Linked DNA regions of Notamacropus eugenii. The protein of the gene in region 2 purifies or fractionates together with the protein of the main gene of each other region. This does not show direct contact. Links are inferred from orthologs where the notes say so. Each region holds a gene or a part of one and is shown on either strand. Other genes may lie near its edges.

Region 1 (7,797 bases), on a different chromosome or scaffold from region 2:
TCAATTTTGTCCATGAAGCCACTTTTGGTTAGACAACAGAGTTTAAGCTTAAAGCGCATTGACTGCCCTTCTAGAGTCTAAAAACAAACCATCCTTTGTTTTCAGAAGTAACCCCGTTAACCACATTACTTTTTCCAAATAAAAAGTTCTTACAATGAAAGGCTTCTAAAATTCAAATATGCACGGATGGGATCTCAATTCTAACAAAGCTTTTATTTAAAAAAAAAAAAAGTATTCTTTCAGAATTAACTTGGGAGACATTGCCCCACATTTGTATTGGTTTGGTACCAGACTCTTAATACTCAAGTTTAGCCATTATGGAATTGGCATACAATGCACCCAACTTTACATTTCTTCCTAGAGCAAGAGTATCTGTTTCTGTATCTGTATCTGTATCTGTATCTGTATCTGTATCTGTATCTGTATCTGTATCTCTCTCTCTCTCTCTCTCTCTCTCTCTCTCTCTCTCTCACACACACACACACACACACACACACACACACACACACACACACACACACACACACACATGCTGTGACATTCTTCCCTTTCTTTTTTATCATATACTGCCCATGGTTTCTTTCTCAGAATAATGTTATTAAATATATAAAATAAAACCTATTGAATTACAAAGAAAATCAATTATTTTGAAATAGTTGTCAAAATATAAAAAAAAAAAGTTCACAGATTAAGGACCTCTTTCCTAGAGAGTGTCATGAGAGAGATGGTTTAGGGTTCTGACAGAAGATACATAGAAACTTCTATAGGTTGCAGCCAGTCTTGCCTCCAAGTTTTAGATATTTAACAAAACCACTTCCTCTGAGAGTTTCTGAACCCAACAATCTTCACCTGAATACTGGGGATACATGGGGCAGGATCTAGGGGTGAAAGGGTTAGAACACAAAGAGTAGAAAATACACAAGTAGTGAGAGGAAGGATGTGGGAGTAAAGAAGGCTAGACAGAGGCAGGAAAGGGACAAGGTTTCCAGAAGTATTTCCAGAGGCACTCAAGTCTTGTTGCCTTCATAATGGTTCTGAGTACTTAAATACAAAGCGACACCAACATCGACAGAGAAAACATAAAAAAGAGATTCCATAACAAAAGTCTCTGCTTATACTTGATTGGAAAGAAATGAAGTCTTTCTGGAGGCTCAGTTCTCTCTCACTCAGTTCCCTCCCCTATCACTAAGAAATGGATCAACCCATTAATATCATTCTCTGATTCATGAGTAAACTACTCCTTCAACACACCAACATAGCCCTAACTCCAGGCCCCTAGCACCCTCCCCACAAAACGGAGTCAGGAAAGAAGCCATCTAACGCTGAAAGGAAACTTCTCTAAGCTGCTGAAACCTTTAAACACACACACACACACACACACACACACACACACACACACACACACACACACACACACACCAATAACAACCATGAGAAAATAGTCCACTTCCAAATCCCCTACAGTTCCTGGGACGTTATTAAATGCCCACAAATGGGCATTTGGTGCCCTTTATCTTTCCCCCAAATGTGGCAGGAAAGGGGATGTGAGAGAGAAGATCTCCTGCCTCCTGTGGAAAGAGAAAGGGAAGCCCCAGGGAAAAGAAACAAGCAGGAAACCCCACCATTCTTGGGTATTTTGTGTGTCTCTTCTCTAGGAACTGAAAGGACCCTTTGTGTGACACACACACACACACACACACACACACACACACACACACACACACACACACACACACACACAGCCTGTGAGATTGATTTGAGGGAAAGAAAAGGGAGGATACTTTTATCATGCCCCCCTCCCTTCCTCCCTTCCTTTTTTGCAGTTAGTCACAGCAAATAAACGCCCTGCGAGGAGTCTTAGTTGCCTCTTTCTGGCTCACTACCCTCAGCCTGTGGGCTTAAAGATAAGAGAAAGGAGGAGACAAAAACCAGCAAATGATCTGGGGAAGTAGAGAGGAAACGCAGGGGGGCTGAGGGGAAGGTGGCGAGGGGTAAGAGGGTGAGGCTGAGGGGGGAGGAGAAAAAGCCTGAGGGGAGCAGAAGGAGAGGCGGAAGAGGGCGGGAAGCCAAAGGAAAGGGAAATTGGGGGAAGGGAAAGAAGGTGGGGGAAGTCGCTTAGGGAGGTGATGGAAGCCCGCAGGAGGATGGGCATGGGAAATCGTCAGCTACAGGGACCGCGAGAGGATGGAGAGGTGGAGGGGGAGCAGCAGGGGGCCAAGCCCCGGCTTACTGGGAATCATCAATTATTAAATGATTACATCATCCCTGTCATTAGAGCAACCCACGCCGCCAGGGTCCCCCGGGGTGGGGGCGGGGGGCTCCACCAGCTCAGCAGGGGCGGAACCCGCTTCTCCCTCCCGAGCCCGAGCCCAGCTCCAGTCCAGTCCTTCCCGGGGTGGGGAAGGAGCTGGGGTCGGGGGTCCGCCGCGCCGGGGCAGTGCAGGGAAGCCCGCGCCGCGCGCCTGTCAGGTCCGGAGAATGCTGGCGAGCCGCAGCGGCCGCGCGGCGCCCGACCCCGCGGCCGGAGATGCGGGGGTCCGGAGGAGGAGCCGGTGCCGGCGGCTGCGGCGGCCGCTGCAGCATCCTCTCCCCCGCCCACCCCCGCCCCGCTTACCTGAGGCTCCCAGCCCCATTCACATGGTCTTCTCCCGGCGCTCCTCTGCGGGCTCCCGGGGAGGCAGGCAGGCGACCCTTCCGAGGGGGCGGGCGCAGGAGGAGCAGGAGAAGCGGGAGGAGGACAGCGCCAGGGTCTCTCCCCCCCCAGCCCCGGCGGCCGGCTCCCTCCGGGTACCAGCTGCCGCTCTGGGAGGCGGCGGCTTCGGTGCGGGCGCTCCGCAAGCCACCCCCACCACCCCGGGAGCTAAGCGCTGCGCCGCCCCGGCTGGCAAGGGAAGGAGGGGGCTCTAAGGGGCCGTGGCCTCCCCTCTCCTCGCGCGGCTGCTCCTCTGCACAGCGAGCCTTGAGCCTTCCTCCTTCTCCCTCTCCTCCTCCTCCTCCTCCTTCTCCTCCACCCTCTCCTTCTTCTCCTTCTCCCTCTCCTCCTCCTCTTCCTCCTTCTCCTCCCCCTCCTCCCTGGCCCGCTCCTGACAGATGGCGCAACTGCAACTACGCCGCGGCTGCTCTCCCGGCTGGGCTACTCCCCCTGATGCTCCGGCCCCTCCAGCTTGGGGAAGGGAGAGAAAGAAAAAAGGGAGGGGAAGGGCGGAGAAAGGGGGAGGGCCGCATCTTGAGAGCGGCAGGCCCTGCAAGCCTATCACCGGAGGCCTAGCCCCCAAGAGCGGCCGTCATTGGACCCGGCCGCGGGGGCGGGGGCGGGAGTGGGCGGGCCCGGGAGCTGGTGGTGTGCTTCAGGGTGTCAGCGGGCATCCCGATGGGGACAAGGAGGATTTGAGTTCGCGGAGTGGGCTGTGTGAGCAGTAAGGCTTATGGAGAATTTTTTTTTTTTAGCAAAAAATTGAGGAGTGGGTAAAGTGTGCTGCGTCCAGTTCAGTCTTTAAGGGTTACGAGTCTTTCTCTTTTGGTTCTTCAACACTCCTTTCAGTACAGTTTTAGCATTTCCCCATCCCCTGCCACCCTTAAAACCATGGAAACCTGTTTAACAAAGTAGCGGCTTGCCCTCCTGGTGTTACAGTGTTTCAGGGGTGGGAGGACAAGGTTATAAAGTGTTAGGGTGCTCAGCGAAGCGTTCTGAGAGCTGTGTGCTCCCTACACAGTCTGAAGAAGGTGTGTGTGTGTGTGGGGGGGTACTCTCCCCAAGATAGAAATTGGGGAAATCTATATAAAAGAAAAAGATTCAAAGGTTTTTTTTTTTTCTAGAAAGGATTCCTCCCACCCCCAAAGTGGTCAAGCCTGGTGGTGATTAGATTAGAGCTGCGTGGAAAGAAGAGATATTCAAGTGTGTGCATACCATAATGATAGGGTAGAAGCTTATGTTTGCACATTTTTTCAAAATCATGTGTAATAGTAGCCGGGGATTGTCTCTCCAAATGTTGTCTTTGGTTTCGGGTGACATTCAAGCTTCCCACTCCTTTGCCCTCCGATGCATGTTCTGTAGTTAAAAAAAAATTTTTTTTTTTTTGGTGGATGGGATACACCATTTGGGGGATAAATCAGTCTATTTCCTGTCATCCAACTTTTGTATGATGAGATATATCTACATGAAAAGTAAAATTTTGCCTTCCTGATTTTCTTTATAATTGATTTCTCTTTATCTGAGAGTTTCACTTTGAGGCTTAACTAAAATTCGTTCATTTAATAATAACAAATTGCACTTAATGCTTTGTGCAAGGAAACCCCTCTCCGCTCCAAATAAGCTTTAATTCTAATGGCATAACTCAGAGAGAAAGGAATGCATCTCAGTTATTACTGTCTGCCTTCTCTGGCACAGATTTGATGGGTTTACAATAGAGTAAGGAGGACCTACTCATAGTTTTAGAGTTGTAAGGGGCTTAAGGGACCCTATTCTTCAGTCCTCTCTTTTTACAGATGAGAGAACCAAGGCTAAGAAAAGATTAGTGACTTGCCCAAGGTCACCAAGTAAGTAAATGGCAGAGGTCCTCTGACTCCAAAGCCACTGCACCACACTGACTAATATTTGTATAAAGACAAATCAGAACATAATAACATTGCCATAGAACACTGTTTCATTTGGTCCCCTTAAAAATACCTACAAGAAGAAAAAGAAGACTCTGATACACTGTCTTAGAGAAGATATTGACATTTATCCAAAGGATAAGCAGGGATCCTTTTGAAAATACTTCAAGTACCTCAAATTTCTCAGCTAGCTACTGTTAATTTTCTCTGTCTATGGGTTGTTCCCACTTGTTCTACAAGTCTGTCTTTTAAAAATGAAACATGGACAGTCTACCAGCACCATGCCAGGAAACTGAATCTCTTCCATTTGAACTGTCTTAGGAAAATTCTGAGGATTACCTGGCAGGGTAAGGTACCAGACACTGAAGTCCTTGCTCAAGCTGAACTGACAAGTATTCAAATTATGCTTCAGAGAGTGAGCTCTGATGGGCTGGGCATGTTGGTCGAATGCAAAATGTACACTTGCCCAAAAGACTATTTTATGGAGAACTTGTATGGGGCAGGCGATCACATGGTAGCCAGAAGAAGTGATACAAGGACACTGTCAAGGTCTCTCTCAAGAACTTTGGATTTGACTGTGCAACATGGGAGACACTGGCACAGGACCACTCAGCATAGCATGCCCACATCAGAAAGGTTGCTGTGCTCTATGAGCAAAGCAGAATTGAAATAGCACAAAGTAAACATAGGATGTACAAATTTGGAATATCCACCCCAAATATTCATACAGACTATCTGTGCCCAGCCTGTGGTAGAGCATTCCAAGCTCATATTGGTCTGATCAGCCACAGTCTGACACACTGAAATTTCACTTTATTATGGTGATGTTATTTTGATCCTCTTCGAGAATGAAGGACAATAACCAATCAACCAAGAGATCATACAGTCATAGCTTTAAAGCTGATTTTAGAGATCATCTGATCAAATCCCTTCATTTTACAGATGAGGAAACTGAGTCTCAGAGATTTTAAGTCCTTTTCCAAAGGTTACCTAGGTAATAAGTCAGATTCCAGTCCTTTGACTGTTAAGTCAACATTTTGTTTCATACCACACTGAATATGCCATCCAAAGTACCTATTGACAAGCTGCCATCAAGAGGGCATTCTGTCTTATTTCCTTTAACACCTTAAAAATCCTATTTACTGCCTTCCTCAAAAGTATTTGGATTCTTCTTGAGTGTTTTAGGTGGTTCAGATGAGTGGATCAAATACTGAAGGAACTCTGGATTATTTTATTAGTGGAGAAATGTCATTAAAGATGATGCATTATCATCTTCTTTACTGCTGTTTCTTAGGAACAATAGGACCTTTCCATTGACTTGCAGTTAAAGCCTCCTTTGTGTGTTGTCAAACCCAGGTAGAATGTTGAATTCTTTGAGAGGAGGTACTGTGTTTTCTATTTGTATTGCTACTCCTTAGCACAATTCTTTGAGCACAGGTCTGACCATGTCACCATCCCATTTGATAAATTTAGTGGGCTCCCTATTATCTCCAGGATCAAATAAAAAATTCTGCTTGGCTTTGAAAGTCCTTCAGAACCTGGTCCTTTCCTCTCTTTCCAGTCTACCTTACTCCCATGTACTCTGATATCCAATAACACTGGCTTCCTTCCTAATTTACTTCTTTCGCAAGCCTTCCTCTCATCTCTAGACTCCACTCATTTTTACTATCCAGAATTGTATCCCTTCTTTTCTCAGTATTCTGACTTCCTTCAGGTCTAAGCTCAAATCTAACCTTACGCAAGAAGTCTTTCCAGATCCTCCTTAATGCTAGTGCCTTCCCTTTGGGGTTGTCTTCAATTTATCCTTTACATACCTTGTTTTATACATGTTGTCCAATCTCGTCTGACCTTTCCTGATTCCATTTAGGGTTTTCTTGGCAAAGACACTGGAGTGGTTTGCAATTTCCTTTTCCAATGAATCTGTTTTGTCTGGCAATCAGAGAATAAGTGATTTGCCCAGAGTCACACAGCTAGGAAGTATCTGAGGCTGGATTTGAACTCAGGTCTTCCTGACTCCAGGCCCAGAGCTCTATCCACAGAGCTACCAACTGCCTCTATTTTGTATAGTTATTTGCGTGTTTTCTCTTGAATTAGATTATGATCTTCTTGAGAACAAAGACTGTCTTTTGCCTTTCTTTGTATCCTCAGCCCTTAGTAGAATGCCATGCACATAGCAGGTGTTTAATAAATGATTATTGAAATTGTGGATGACTATTTTCAGCAATACAATGATCCAAGACAACTCCAAAAGACCCAAGATAAAAAATGCTATTTGCCTCCAGAGAAATAACTGATGGTGTCTGAATATAGGCTAAAACATACCGTTTTTCTCTTTCCTTCTTTCTTTTGTTCCTTCCTTCCTTTCTTCCTTTTCACAAAATGACTAATATGGAAATAGGTTTTATGTGATTGCACATGTATAACCTGTATCAGATTGCTTACCATCTCAGGGAGAGAAGAAGGGAGGGAGGGACAGAATTTAGAATGTCAAAACTTTTAAAAAGCCATTTTAATTGTTTTTATATATAATTGGGGGAAACAAAATATGATTTAAAAATAAGTAATTGTTGACTTAACTAGTAAATTCTCAATAAGTTCCTTTATTCATTTATGTGAATTCATTTATTCATTCATTATGCTATAGAAAATCATGAAAGACTGGATTTCTGTCTCATATTTTCATCTAGTTTTACCCTGGACAAAAATGTTGCTCATTCTCATAACTGTGTTATGAAGAAGATAAAGTAGGAATATGGGTGAGTAGTTCCCGATGCCCTCTTGATCACTTTTTTGAGGTGGTAATTCTGTCCATTCTTTTTGGCATCTTCCCCTCCCTAATAAAACTTACTAAATGATCCCTCAAGGCCCTCAAAGTTGTGCAGCCTCCAATATGGATTTTGATGATTTGGACAGGTCCAGTTAACCTTCCTAACTTCATCTTCTAAAGTACCATTCCTACTTCCTAATTTAGCCATTACTGATTTTTAAAGACTTCAAAGTACCATCTATGAATCTAAGGTAATTTTATTAATTAACACTCTAATAAGTCAATGACTAAAAATTTCTGTATGGAATGTTTTTCTCTCTGTGTGTCAAATGCTTTGCTAGTATGGCACCCAGTATGTTATAAATGTTGCAAGGTAAGACGTCGTCATCATCAAAACCCTTTATTAGATATATATTGACATGATGCATTATGCTAGA
Region 2 (7,526 bases):
AATCCGGCAATAGCACTAAATGAATCTGGAAAAGTAGAGTGGCACCTGATTATGGAGGGCCCTGAATGATGAGATAAGAAATTTGAACTTAGTAGGCAAGAGGAGGCCACAGAAAGAACCTAAAAATACAACAGGTGGTGGTGTTGTTCAGTCCTGTCCAACTCTTTGTGATCCAATTTGGGGTTCTCTTGGTAAAGATAATGGAACAGTTTGCCATTTCCTTCTCTAGCTCATTTTACAGATGAGGAAACTGAGGCAAACAGGATAAAGTGACTTGCCCAGGGTCACATGGTTCATAAGTGTCTGAGGCCAGATTTGAACTTAGAAAGAGAAATCTTTCCTGATTTTCACCCTGGTGCTCTAGCCACTGTGCCACTGAGGGTCAGTAGTGAGGAAGTACTATCATATCACCAAGCATCTACATCACATGACACTTTTTTCAAAAAGTTGACGGTGCGGGAGAGGAGAGATGTTAGAAAGTAACTAGAGGGAGTAAAATGGTCACTGGAACACTCTTTTGTTTAAGGTATGGGGAGATCAACACGGAGGCCCATTGGAAAGAGCTCCTGGAGAAGGAGACTGGAGAGGCATGAGAAAAGGGATGATAAGAAGCAAGAGAGAAGAATCAGGAGGGGATGATGTACTCACAAGAGTCCAGCTAGAAGGCCAGCCTTAGCTCAGGCTGAGGCAGGTTGCTGCTGCTGCTGCATTTTAAGGGACAAAGGAAGGTCCTGGGGGGTTCACTTCAGATGGTTTCTATCTCAGTGAAGTAGCAGTTTAGGTCATCTGCTGATAAGTGTGGAGTTGAGGCTGCCATGGGGGACGTTAGGAAAAAGTGAAAGATCTGGAACAGTTACTGTGGGGACGAGCTATTTGATCAGTTCTTAGCTTCCCTAACTGTGCTACTATCTAGCCTACTCTATCTAATCACTCTAAACACATTCCACAAGAGAATGAGAGACCATAGTAAATGTCTCGCTGAAATCCAGGTCTGCTATGTATAGGGTATGGCCTTGTCAAAGCAAATGAGGTTAGTCTGGCATGACTTATTCTTTATGAACCCATGCTGGCTCATAGTAATCACTGCTTTCTTTTCCAAGTACTCACAAAACATCACTTTAATAATGCATTCTGTCAGAAGAGGATGAGGACCTAGGCTGGATAGTGACTGTGGGAGTGAAGAAGAGATAAATTAGAGAAATATTTCTAAAGACTGGACAGGATGAAGCAATGCCCTGGTTTGCACAAACTTATACACCAATTATCCTACAGCTACCTAGAAAAACTATCATTGACTGAGGGGCTGGATCTGTCAGGGTCCTCCTATCACCCTTGACCCCTCTTAGCTTAGGCCCTTCCCTTAGAAAAAGGCAGAGAGGTCTGAGAGATCAATGCTTTCCTTAGGAGGTCTCCTATTGTTCCCTCCCCCTCTGTATCCCCACCCCCCACACTCTGGAGCCCTAGCTCCATTCATAGGCTGCCCAAGCTCAGTTCCTGTCCCCTCCTCTCCTCCCCGCTTACCCCTCCACCCCTAACAGCATAAGGAGAGCTACAACAAACTGACAGTTTCCCATCAGCTGGGGGTTTGGAAGGACATCTTAGGAATCTGGAAAATTTGCAAAGCCCTTTAAATCCCCGGGGCTTCGATGGCCCTAGGGACTGGCCTGAAGCCAAATCCTTTCTGGGAAAACGGCTGCAGACTCATGGCTGAGGCTGAAGGTCTCCCCTCTCCAACCCTGGTCCCCAATCTTCTGTTTGCTGATCCTGATGCCTCATTCCCTATTTTATAGCGCCATCTCACACTCATTCCCTCATTCCCTAGTCCCTTGTCCTAACCGCCAACCCCCCCCATCTGTTCCCCACCTTCCCCCACAACTTTTGTCCTCTATCTCCAGTCTGATCCACTTAAGTACGAACCACTCCACCCCCTTCAGCGCCACTTTTCTCTGAGTCCCCTCCCTTCATGGTTTGTCTCTCCTCATAATCCTTCCTCCCCTCACAACCCCTTGCCCTCAATATCTCCCCACCCTTAGTAGCCTTCATCCTTAAAGTCCCCCTCCCACTCTGCCCATTCTCTGGCCCCTCAAGCCACCCCTACCCCCCCAGGCCCCGCCCCCTAGCTCTGGCAAACAGACCCTCCGCTGTTAAGATACTGAGCCAGGAGAATGGAGCCCAGAAAACCCAGTGGTTTTGTGTGAATGAGGGCTGGAATGGAGGGGGGCGGGGTGCTAGCTCTTGGGGCACAGGGTAGAAAAGGGAGAAAAGAGGGGCCCGTCTGGTGGGCATGATTGCGGAAGGTCCAACTGAGCATGGGGATGGCAAAGGATATTCAACTCTTTTGCAAACTGACATCTCCCAACTCTGCTCTGAGCTTCTCCCATCTGGTTTCGCTAAAAATATTTTCCATTTTCAACTTGACCAAAGTGTGGCTGAGACATGACAAAGGGGCCCTGAAAGTGGGGTGAGGTGGGGGCAGAGAGTGTTGGGGGCCCAGGCACCTACCTTATTGCCTTGGTCTTCTCTTGACTTTGCCTTGTTTGCTGCCTGCTCACAAACAGCCTACTTTTGCGGAGTCCCCAGATGCTGCCCCTTCCTCGTCTGTCTCCAAACTCACCTCCCTTGGCCCCCGTGGATGGAGCTCCAGGAGGCAGGAGTGACTGGAGAACAGGGGGAGCAGTTGGTCCAAGGACCAGCAGCAGGAGGGACAGAGACAGTTCTAGAGCATCCTTATGGGAATCTCCAGACTCAGGAGGGCCTTTCTAGTTTGGTCTTTCTGTATGTTTGCCCCTCTGAGGGATTGAGATCAAGGACAGTTAGAAGGCAAAGGAAGAGGTAAGCCCTCCTGGTCCACTCTCTGCTTACAAAGTTTTCTCTTGGTTTCCCCTTGTCTCTTGGCCTGCTGGGCGAGGAAGATGGATAGCGGCTAGGTTCAGGGTACCCAGGCCTCAGGCAGAGGTGGAAGCAGTAAGAGGCTGAGACAACTCTGAGTGAGAGAGAAAGCTCTGTCTCCTACAACTTGGGGGGAAAGGCCGAAGAGGTCCCTTTGATTGGTCTCTTTGAGTGAGAGAGGGTGTGTGAGAGGGAGGGAGGGAGGGAGGGAGGCAGGCAGGCAGGCAGGGAGCGTGAGAGGGAGGGAGAGAGAGGAGTGTGTGTGTGCGTGTGTCTGTTTTCAATTTGGTCTTTTTCCCCTGAGTTTCTTGTTTTTCTTTCTGTTTTCCCTTCACTCTCTGCCTTCTCCCTCTTTCTCAGGATATGAGGGGATGTTTAGAAATTCCACAGCCCACGCCAGCAGCTGAGTCATTTGTATTAAGAGAGGCCAGCCCATTCTGCCCAGGGTGGTGACTCCCCTCCCCTCTCCTCTCCCCAGACTGGGCAATAGGGTCTGGGGGCTCTGCTGCTGACGGTAAGGTAGGGTCATAGATTGGCAATCTGTCGATCACCTGGCAATCGTGGCAGGGATTGTGCTAGGTAGAGGGATCTCAGGCAGTGCCCGCCTGTGTACCTCTGGGAGAGGGTCCCCAGGAAAGAAGGGAAAACAGGAGATCATGCTTTACAGTGTTGTGGGGTAACCTGTTACTCCCCAATCTTTGGGTCTCATTCTCTCCATCTGCAAAATGAATGGATTGAGCTAAGATGGTTTGGAAGGGTCCTGTCGGCTCGGCCATTCTAAGTTCCATCCAGTTCTCACATTCTCTGCTCTACGTTCCCTTCTAGTTCTGAAATTCTAGGTCCTATATTCTATGATTGTATTCAAGGACAGAGTGTACATGGCAGGAATGGCAGAGAGGGCAAGGCCTTCCTGCCTCCTTTGAAACTGGGGACTCGGGGTATCTCCAGGGAGGGGAGGGGATGGCTGAGGGAAGCAGAGCTGTAGCCTGGCTTCTGGTCATGATCAACCACAGGTTGGTCCAGCACATCTGGAGTCACTTAGCCCCAGCAGTCATTAACCCTTTGCGGCCTCCACTGCTGGTGTGCCCATTGCTTGGACAGTACAACCTGATCTTACTCCCCAACCCCATGAATCTCTAAGCATAAGACTAGTCCTCTGTATGCAGGCACTAGTTGGTCAGACGGTGAGGTGGGAAGTAGTGAGGAAACAGTGAACTATGGCATAGGATTCAGGTCCTTCAGACCTAGGAATTTTGGATGAAAGGAAGAGTTTAGAATTTGAGCCAATTTTGTGGGATGCAAAGTAGGTGACATATCCCGTCAGTCTCAGAGATGTCCGAGAAATCCTCAGAGATGGAGAAGATTCCAAACAAGTGAGAGAGGGGAGCAGACACCTTAATAGCTGGAAGAGAAAGGATGTGATTGTTTTGGTCATAGAAAAGGAAAGAGACAGTGTGGTAAAATGGAAAGAACATTACTAGATATTTAGTCCTGGCCCTGCTCTTAACCTTACTATGTGACCATAGGCGAAGGCTAGCAGCCACCAAGTAGTGCAATGCTTAGAACATTTCCTGGCTTGCAGACAGGAAGACCTGAGTATGAGTCCATATTTAGTAGCTGTGTGACCCAGGTCAAGTCACTTAACCTATCCCTCGCTCAGTTTCTTCATTTACAAAACACATTATTAACAACATTTTCTCCATAGGTTTGTTGTGAGAATCAAATGAGATTATACATTAGATAAATGCTAGCTATTATAAATCATTTCCCTTCTTTGGGTCCCTATTTCCTCATCTCTAAAATGAGGCATTTGAAAATAATGTTATTTCTAAGGCTCCTTCCAGCTCTATCATATGATATGAATGACTACTGATTAGGGATGTTTTTGAAAGGATTTATATTTCAGATGTGTTCTCACTTAAGGGACCTCTGAGATACCTTCAAGTTTTGAGATGATGTGATTTTGTGTCCCAGACAACAGTTTTGGCCACTAAAGCCAGACTTCCAAAAAGTCTAGCACCCCCCTCTGCTGGCTACCTCGATAACTCTCAGGGAGGGAGGGTCCCATGAGATAGTGCTCACTGCCACAAAGACCCCTCCCTATTCCTCTTTCAGTATGGGTTCCACATAGAGACCTTTACAGTCAATGAAGCTCTAGAGGAATGTCCTGCTGCAATGCTCTAAATGCCCAAATAAGATCCAACAGATGAAGCTCTCTTCCTGGTATCAGACTGGGATGTCAGAGATGCTTCCATTCCAGCCATGGGCCAGACATCAACAGGGATTGGCTTCCATGGGAGAAATTTGTGGGAAAAGAAGCAAGAGTAAGACGACTTGGAAGGCATTTTGAAGGGCTATGGGATTGTGAAGAAAGTTTGACTTTACAAGGTGGAAATTTAGAAAGACTTGAAGAGAGGTTGAAGGAAGAGAAGGACTCAGGCAAAGGGAAGAGATGATAGAGTTGAGCTGAAGGTGGAGAAAGTCAAGAAGTCAAAGACAAGCTGAAGAACAAGGAGGAGGAGGAAGAAGGTAATTGGTAGGGCAAGGTTAGTGTTACAACTTGGTTCAGACCAGGAGGGAAGGGGAGAAAGTTTAATGTAGGTGTCAAGGTGCTAACAAGGTTCTAATGAGGTGAGGAGAGAGAGAAGTTTAGAGTTAAAGACCCTCAGAAGACTTTGCTACTGAAGCTCTCTGAAGGAGTTACCAGCAAAAAGACAAATACTGGGGATCGTCACTTCCAGTCAATATGGTGAACAGGGGAACATTTGTAGTGACTTGCATTGAGAGCCATGTCTATATTTCTGTCTCAACCAAATGATTGCTATCTCTGTCCAAGGTCTAGGCTACTTTCACTTCTGGAATACAGGGTAAAAAGGCATAAAGAGTGCCGCTCCACTCTATGGGTCCTCAAAGATAGTACTATCCCTTAAAAAAAATAACAGAAATTGAAATTAAACACACAAAGCAATGTCAAAAGTAAAGGAAATGCAGAACCTAAAGAAACTGGGATGGTAGGAAGTTGGAGCGTAGAAGAAGATCACACAGAAGAGAGAGGGAAGATCCACCAAATATTTGGAATAAATGGATTAGGAAAACATTTCTAAAAAGTGGATAAGACAAAATGAAGCCTGGTTTGCACAAGCTTAAGACTTCTTTAAGACTTACTGGTGCAGCTAGGTGGTTCAGTGTCTAGAGTACCAGGCAAAGAGTAAGGAAACTCTGGGTTCAAAACCAGATTTAGTCATTTACTAGCTGTGTGACCCTGGGGAAGTCACTTAACCATTGTCCACCTCAGTTTCTGCATCTGTGCAATGAAATAATAATAACACCTATCTCCCAGGGTTGTCATAAAAATAAAACAAAATATTTGTAGAAGTCCTTTGCAAATCTTAAAGTGTTCTACGAATACTAGCTAGCTAAATCCTATGAATTTTTTGAGGAAGAGGGAGAGGTCTACCTGAAGAGGAAGCAGCTGCTAGTCCTCCAGGGAATGACAACATGGGAGTGTGTGTATAAAAGCTATCAAATGAAAGATCATCCAGTAAGGGTCAGTGGAAGATGGGACAAAAAGTGGCTGGTGATTCCCTTCATCAGAGTCACCTGTCAACCTAATAACAATAATAGAGAGATCTCCTGTCTTCCTAACACATATATCCAAGACTTGACAGGGACTCTCCCAAAGTTTGCCATTCCACATGCTTACTACCCACTCCTAATAATTCACAAGATTAGAAATTATATCACCATAAGGTACCTAGAAATTATTCCTCAAGATTACAAAATCATGGACAACACTGAAGACCTAAGAGGCACAGGTGAGTTCTTCCTTCCTTCCTCCCTCCCTCCCTCCTTCCCTTCCTTCTTTCCTTCTTCCCTCCATCCCTCCTTTCCTTTTTTCTTCCCTCCCTCCCTCTCTCTCTTTCTTTCTTTCCTTCTCTCTTCATTGCTGCTCACAGAAGGCAAGAACTTTAGCGTTTGGCAGACTGGGGTAGTGAACAACTGGTTAAGAAGGTGGTATTCAAGAATGAGAACTGAATTTCTGTCCAGCCATATAAAATATGAAAATGATTGAGCACCTAACATAGGTTAATAACACCATATTTGTATGCAGTCTAGCAAATCTAATGAAAAGAAATTTAAATGAACCAACAAGGAGGAAAGTACATATATCTACCAGCATAGATAGATAGATAGTAGTTACAGTACAAGTAGAAAAACAGATGTAGACATTTTCAGAAATTCATAGGAGACAAAAATCCCCAAAAGGAGCCAGTAACAAAACCCCATTGCTTTCATTGGCTATACATAAATACACAAAGTGTAGGTTAAAAAAAATGATTAACTAAACACCCTAATTCAAAGAGGCATATGTGATCTTATAGTTACTACTGAGATGCGGGACGATGAGACCTATGTCTATAATAATACACTGGATAGGCATATTTTATTCTAAAGAAACAGGATAGGCAAAGATGAAGGTGAAGGAGAAGGATGAGACAGTAGCATCATATCTTAAGACATAGTTCTGTGAGGAAATCTAGGAACCAGAGCAAAGAATCATGGTCCAGAACAGTTTGCTGAAGATGAAGGAAGAAACAGAAATAATGTTAATATCTGAGTACACTATAGATCACCTG
Region 3 (7,147 bases), on a different chromosome or scaffold from region 2:
TAACAAGTTGTCATTTGTGGTTTTAAGCACAAAAAAGTTAAATCCGGTGAGAAGTCTAAATATTAATGTAGACAGCAATATTTTACATAAGAGCTGCTTGGTTTTCCCTTCCAATGGGGTACAGCTACAAAAATATCTTTTTATCTCAAAGGAGGTCCCACACCCTGACCAGGTCAGAGGCATGAACGACAATAGCATAATAAGCTAAGATTCCAGCTCATTATTCTATTTTACTAAATCAACTACAGACTATATTAAAACATGGCTTATTTCAGAAATAGTAAGACTTACACAAACAAAATAACATCTGACCAATAAATATCTGAGCACCTACCTCAACTGTAAAGAAAGCATTTTGTAAATCTTAAAATGCTGTATAAGTGCAGGCTATTATTACAAGTTCACATTTTTGTTTTTAAAGTAAAAATTTTGCCAAACGTTAGTGTTATTAAAATTCTCACAAGAAGTGAGCTCATTTCTTGAAACTATTTACCATGTGAATTTTTAGCAAGTTCCTATCATTCTACAAAATTATTAGCCTATCTTAAAAACAATGCTTAATGTCGCTACAATCTGACACATAGTTAAGAAAATTAATACAACTTTCATAATATTTTCAAAAACAGCCCCCAAATAACCTATTTTTACAACACTCAGTGAGGACTGCAAAAATCTCTGAGGGAATAGATGATGTTCAAAAGAGTGTAAATTTTCTTCCAGAGACTCAGCATCATTTAACTATTGCCTTTTCAAATTATACATATTCATGACAAAAAAATAGTCCTTTGCAAACTCAGTTTTCTACTGTTAATTTTCATCTCTTAGTATGTTTGGGCTGTTAAGACTACTAAAGATATGAAACTGACAACTTAAATCTATGGTGATCCAGCAGACTAGTCATACAGTACAAAAAACACTTCTTATTTTTGATAAAAAATGGTAAACATTATATTCGGACAGGAAAAAGTTTTTAATTGTAAAAGAAGGTTGAAATTAGGGTTATTATTCCTACCACTCAAATTTGGAACACATACCTGCTATCCTAAAATCATAAAATTTGATCTTAATACTGCACTCTGGACTGGGTCATCAGAAATACAACTTTTTGTCCTGGCTTTATAAATAGAATTTAATTCTATATTTCTGCTCTAAAAATCAGAATGGGCACTGACAAAAAAAGATCAAAAGAATCCTGCTTTACTGTGTTGAGCATTACAGCATATTTTCCTAATTAATTTTAAGAATAATCCACTTAAACTCTTCTAAAGTAGCTTAAAATCAAAATATCGTAAGTCATGTGTTCCAATTATTTCCCTGCACAGATTTTTAACTTAAATCTTTCTGGTTCTGTCACACATTAAGCCTAGTATGATTCAAAGCCTCCATTTAAACTAACAGAGAAGTGTCATAAAAATGTTTAGAATGCCAGGGTTACACTCCTTCTGAAGTTTTCTTCTCTAACCCCAAGTCCCACATCTCTTTAAACTCAGGATCCAAACAGTATCATTTGATGAAGCAATTAAATTAATACTGCTCACTCCATACAGTAGCAGTACCACCCATAAAAACAGATTCTCCTGGGATTGCGAATTTAATTTTCAGGTGATTACTGGAATATTGCAAGCTATCAATACGACGAAAGGAAGCATAAACTTTTCTCCCTTTCTTCCCAATTCAACAAGTACTGTACTGAATGGGTGTCTCAGTAAAAGAACAGTATTTGGGAAGGAAAAAAAGCTGTAATAACTCAAAACTCTGAATCCCCTACCACGAATGGGAGGCACTGCTTCCTGAAATTATTCCTCTTCTCCCAAAACTGCAAAGCCCTTCCCCGCCTCGCTCGCCCACAAGTTTGGGTTGGCACCCTTTCACCCAGGCAGTTGGTCCAGCAGCCCCACTGACCCGCTTCCCACCCGGGGGCCGTGCTGCCCTGCGGGCATCTCCCCAAACTCTGCGCCTTCCCCAAGGGCTCATCCTAAAGGCACCAGGCGCGGGGAGCACGCCCGCAGGGTCCCCCCCAAACGGTCGGTTTCCAGACCAGTCCGGGGGGGCGACCCCTCAGGAAGGACGACCCCGGCCTCCCCCACCCGCCCGGCTCCGGACTCACTGGTTGGTCGGGGGCGCGTTCAGAGGGATGGCCACCTCCTCCTCCTCGTACTCGGGTCCGTCCAGGGAGTCGCCTTCGTCCACGGTCCCCGGGCCCCCGCCTAGGAGGGCGGGCAGCTGCTGCGGCGGCGGCGGCGGCAGAGGCGGGAAGCCCCCCGGGCCGGGGGCGTCGGCGGGCACGGGGGCACCCTTGGAGGGGGCGGCGTCCCCCTGGGGGCCGGCCGCGGCGGCGGGGACCCCTCCCGCCCCAGGCCCGGCTCCCAGAGCCGAGCACAAAGCGGGGCCCCCCAGCCCGGGCGCCGGGCCCGGGCAGGAGGGCACCGGACAGGGCAGGGCCGCAGGGGTCCTGACCCGACACACCGTGGCGCAAGGGCCGGGGTCGGCGGCCGAGGCCGGGCCGCCTCCGCCGCCTCCCGCCCCTGCGGTCGCCGGACCGCCCTCCTCACTCCCGGCCGCCTCGGCCGCCATCATGTTGGAGCCCGCTCGGCCCTGCCCTGCCTGGCCCTGCCCGTCCGGGAGCCCCGGGGGCCACAGGGCCCCGGGTCCTGGCCGCCCCTCCCCGGCGGGCCCCCCCCTCAGCTCCCCGGGCCGCGGAGGAAACAACAACAAAAGGCCGGAGCCCGCCCGCCCTCCGGCCCGAGGAGCCCCTGGGGCTGCAGCCCGGGCGCCCCGGAACGGCCCTGACCGGCTACGGAAAGAGAGGAGGGGAAAAAACACCCGCCCGCGACCCCGGCCCGGCCGAGGCGCGCACACGCCCCCGCGCAGACCGTCCGAAGGCGCGCGCGCACTCGCACTCACACACTCACACACGCACACAAAAGAAAACTTCCCGGCTCGGTAACTAACTAAGGAGCACGGGAAGAAGGGGAAGCGAGCCGGGGCCGCCGCCGCCACCACCGCCACCGCGGCCGCCTCTTCACCGCCCCAGTCCCGGCCACCCCCACCGCAGCAGCCGCCGCCGCCGCTGGCGCTGCTGCCGCTGCCGCCGCGGCTTCATCCTCCACGGGGCCGGAGGAGGAGGGAGGGCCGGGGAGGAGAGGAGGGAGGGAGGGGGTGGGGGCGGGAGACCGCGCGGAGCACAGCCCGAGTCGCGATTCCCGACCTGGAGCTCGCAGTGAGAGGAACTACAGAGAGGAGAAAGGGTGACGGGGAGGGGAGGCCGGAGGGGGAAAGAAAGGGAAGGGGGGAGGAGGGGGAGAAGAAAAAAAAGAAAAGCAGAGGGCCGCTTGTGCGCAGGCGCGCCCTGGGAAAGCTTTGGGCGCGGGGAGAGTCCGGGAGTAGGGCTGATGGAGGAGGAAAAGGAAGGGGCGGGGGAGGAGAGGGAAGGAAGAGGTGGGCGCGCGCGCGTTCGCGGCTCGGCCCCCACTCCTGCCAGCCGGGCGCGTGGCGGGCGGCCACTGAATTGTCCGCCTGGTTCGCGGCGGCGGCGCGCGCGCCTCCAGAGGCATTGTTCAAATGCTCCCGCGGCCCACGAGTCGCTTTGTTCCCAGACTTCCCCTGTGCTCCTCGGCCAGCCCAGCCGCCCGGTCCGGTCCCGGAGCTGGCTGCTGGCTGCTGGCTGGAGGGGGCGGGGACCGGAGAGGATGCGCTCCAGGGGATTCCTGGTTTGGGGATGGGGCGCTCCTAGACTACCCAGCGGGCGTGAAGTGAGCCACACCCAGGGGGTCTCCTGGCGGCCCTCGGAGCGAGCTGTTAAATGGGCTGCCAGACCCTTCCCTCGGGCTCCTAAATACTCTTAATAACCAGAAGCCCAAAAGGAAGAGCTTAGAAGTCCGTCAGTAAATACACATTTATTAGGCACCCACTGTAAGCTAAGCGCTGGTGATGCAGAAAAGTGAAAGGCAGCTCCTGCTGTCGAGGAAGTCACCGTCGAAAGGTGGGAACCATGTACAAATAACTGTACAAATGGGGAAGCCTGCCTTGAATTAAAGAGGATGGGGGAAAGCTGCCCACAGAAGTTTTTAGCTGTAACTTAAAGGAAGTCAGGAGGCGGAAACCGTGCTCTTGGGATAGGATCTGAAAAGATCAAAAAAACATTAAAAAGGTGGAAAGAGCACCCAAGAGAAAACACCCGTTGCCTTTGTGACCTTGGGCAGTAAAATCGCTTAATCTTTTCCTAGCTTCATTGTATCCACACTACCTGACACATTGTATCAGCTTAATAAATGCTTATCGGCTGGTTGACTGACTTAATGCTTTTCTTTCTTAGTCTAGGGTGCTCGGTTTCTTTGTGCCTTTTCTCATCAGGTTAATTAAGACAAGTAACCACGGTGGTCTGATCCAGGGAAGGAAGCAAAATACTTAAAACTAAACTAAAGAACTGATTGTCTTAACCCCTGCCCCAAAGAGTTCTAGGCAGGCACCATTCTATTGAATGTGCCAGGACAGACAATTAGAAGACTGAAAATCGGCAACCTCTGCAAGCTGAAACAGGCCAGAGGAACTAATAGTGAAAGATATCTGTGCATACCACCACCAAAGTTCTCCCATGCCTCATCCTGGCATGGAGAGGGTCTTGAACACTATGCCAGATATCACAAGTTCTAGCAGGTCTTACCACGCTGGAAAGGCTTAGAGTAAGGACCCTATTTGACTGTATGTACTGTGCAAGGACTAGCCTAGCCAATTTTGAGGAAGCTCATCACCTAGTTGGCGTAGGCAAATGAATTTTTCTGCTACAGTCACTAAAGGTACAGGAGGGTTGTGGCATTACTTAGTTGAGGGAAAATTACTTATCCTTAAAGTTTCTTTGCATAACGTTTCTTCCAAATTTTCCAATAAATTCTTGAAAGAAACTTTTAGTCTCTTTATATAGCAAAGGATATTTTTCCATTAGCAGTAAAAGCTAAAAAGAGTAACTCATTGGTAAGAAGGAGTGTGTGCATGGGCAAAATAAGCAGTTGTCTTTTGGTAAGGAGGAGGAATACTTGACCCATCTCCTAGGCTCTGAGAACTAATTGTTAAATTTTCAATGTGAGCAGTCACACTTCAAAAATCATCAAATGCTACACATTGAGTATAATTCATTATTTTGTTAATTTTGTAGAAGAAAATGATAATTATGCAGACTAAATTTAAAAGTGCTTTTTAAAGCACTCCAATTTTTTGAGCCAGTTGTTAAACGTTACCAGAAAGTCTTTATACATCCATCTGAAATTACAACAGCATTTGATTCATTCAAGTGGTTTAAGCTTTACCCTCTACATTCCTTTCTCCCCTTTTTAATGAAAATACCTTTGAGAAAGGTAATATTAAATTCCTAACAGCATAATATGAATTTGTTTTTTAGGTAAATTTCCTTTCTAAATGAAGTAACTGTCAGAAGAATATTGATACCCTGGGGAGAAATGGGGAAAGGACCCAAAGGAGGGAAGGACACAGGAAGGGATGATTGGAGACACTGGAGGAATGGATACTTATTTCATTAGTTTGCCTACAGTACACTTTGTACAAAATAAATCTGGAGCAACTTGACCATGTACCACTGGGGTTGGGGGGGTGGGGCGGGGAAGGAGAGAGAAGGAGAGGAGTGGAGAGGATTAAGGGTGGAGCTATTGAAATTTATTTAGGAATTCATTGAGGGATCTTGACATTCAAACCAGCCAGAATTGACTGGAGAAAAAGATCTGAAAAAAGGAAAGTTTCGCCCAGTAGTATCACAGTAAGGGAGAGAAAGGAGCATATTAGGAAGTACTGAGCTGCTACTTGTAGCTGTGGACCACCTTGGGATACAGGAATTGAGAACAGTGATCAGAGAGTTCCCATCTCTATTACACTTTGAAGGATAAGGAAATACTTCTCACAGCACACACATGTCCCACCTCCCCCAACTTCATAGGGTAGAGTCAGATTTTTTTCCTCCTTGGAGTTCTAGCACTTATAAACAAGGAACCAGAATCTAACACTGCTGCTTTATATTTTTCTATAAATGTTTTCAGATACATTACTACACTGTAAGTAGAAAAGGTTGTCTTTTTTTTTTTATCTTCTACATAATGCCTAGCACACTACTACTGAAGTAATGTGAAACTCAACTAGAAGTGCATACCTCTCATTTGTACATAAAGATCCCTGCAGGCCATGTGTTGACAGTTTAAAATGTAATATTAATCTATATTTTATTGTATTTTGTTTATTTTTAAAATATTTCCCAATTACATTTTAATCTGGTTCTGCTGCTCTCAGGAGTGCTGTGAGCTATGTGTTTTGACACTTTTTCTAGTAGTGACTTCCAGTCCAGATTTAAATTCCTAATATGTATTTGTCTCTTAACAACTGTCTTTTTTCACAGTCTCCTTTATGAGAAACACTGAACAGAACAGTTTATATTTAACCCCTCAAAAATATTTTTGAAAGCTTTACTACATAGATTGTTTCAACAGAAAGGCTTCTGATAACTGCATTTCTTGTTCTGAAAAACATTGCAAAATACATTTTTTTCCTTTGCATGATATTTTTAAATGTATGCTGATGTTTAAGTGAGGCTCCTTCTTCGAAGGATGAGAAGAAATGTCATAAGATAGTTTTTCTTCATCTTTTACTTCTCTTCCAATACGCTTCATGTTCTGAATATTTGGGTTTTTTCTATGATTTTTCACGTGTGTGAAAATATTTTCCTTAGTTGTGTTTATTTCCTTTGTTTCTTGGCTTTTGTTGTTAATTTCCCCTTTTTCTTCTTTTGTCTGTTTTTTTGTTTTTTTTTTACTCAGAAGCTTCTGAATCACTTGGCTTAGATGTAAGTGATGCTGACAGGAGAGTAGAAAACCAGCCGCAAGTCAACAAAGTGACAATATGCAACTGTGTGTCAGTATCTAGTTAGAGAGAGGTGTCCTGGGGTATAGTAAGAGTGGGTGTTAAGTCTGTTCTTTTATAACATCTGTTAAAACAATCTGTTAATGAAATTCAGAGACAATATTACATAGGGAGGTGCTAAGAAATAAAACAAACCATCCAGAGGAAATTGTAGGAGAGAAATTGCAAAATGAGATTAAAATGTTTAAGTGAATAATTTGCCATATTATATACATACACCAGACGTTGT

What was found.
Region 1: the proteins of PDGFRB (region 2) and FYN purify together in Homo sapiens (pull-down; 3 studies listed by IntAct, with this or other methods). This does not show direct contact. The link is inferred for Notamacropus eugenii from reciprocal best matches to the Homo sapiens genes PDGFRB and FYN.
Region 3: the proteins of PDGFRB (region 2) and RASA1 purify together in Homo sapiens (co-immunoprecipitation; 5 studies listed by BioGRID and IntAct, with this or other methods). This does not show direct contact. The link is inferred for Notamacropus eugenii from reciprocal best matches to the Homo sapiens genes PDGFRB and RASA1.

What each region holds. Positions count from the first base shown.
Region 1 is NC_092873.1:192,204,997-192,212,793, forward strand, and holds the start of FYN (tyrosine-protein kinase Fyn), read right to left. Parts: upstream 3,024-7,797; 5' UTR 2,615-3,023; intron 1-2,614. UniProt on the Homo sapiens protein: Non-receptor tyrosine-protein kinase that plays a role in many biological processes including regulation of cell growth and survival, cell adhesion, integrin-mediated signaling, cytoskeletal remodeling, cell motility, immune response and axon guidance.
Region 2 is NC_092872.1:377,727,994-377,735,519, forward strand, and holds the start of PDGFRB (platelet-derived growth factor receptor beta), read right to left. Parts: upstream 3,073-7,526; 5' UTR 2,503-3,072; intron 772-2,502; exon of another isoform or gene 649-771; intron 1-648. UniProt on the Homo sapiens protein: Tyrosine-protein kinase that acts as a cell-surface receptor for homodimeric PDGFB and PDGFD and for heterodimers formed by PDGFA and PDGFB, and plays an essential role in the regulation of embryonic development, cell proliferation, survival, differentiation, chemotaxis and migration.
Region 3 is NC_092875.1:454,108,843-454,115,989, forward strand, and holds the start of RASA1 (ras GTPase-activating protein 1), read right to left. Parts: upstream 3,075-7,147; 5' UTR 2,578-3,074; coding exon 2,108-2,577; intron 1-2,107. UniProt on the Homo sapiens protein: Inhibitory regulator of the Ras-cyclic AMP pathway. Stimulates the GTPase of normal but not oncogenic Ras p21; this stimulation may be further increased in the presence of NCK1.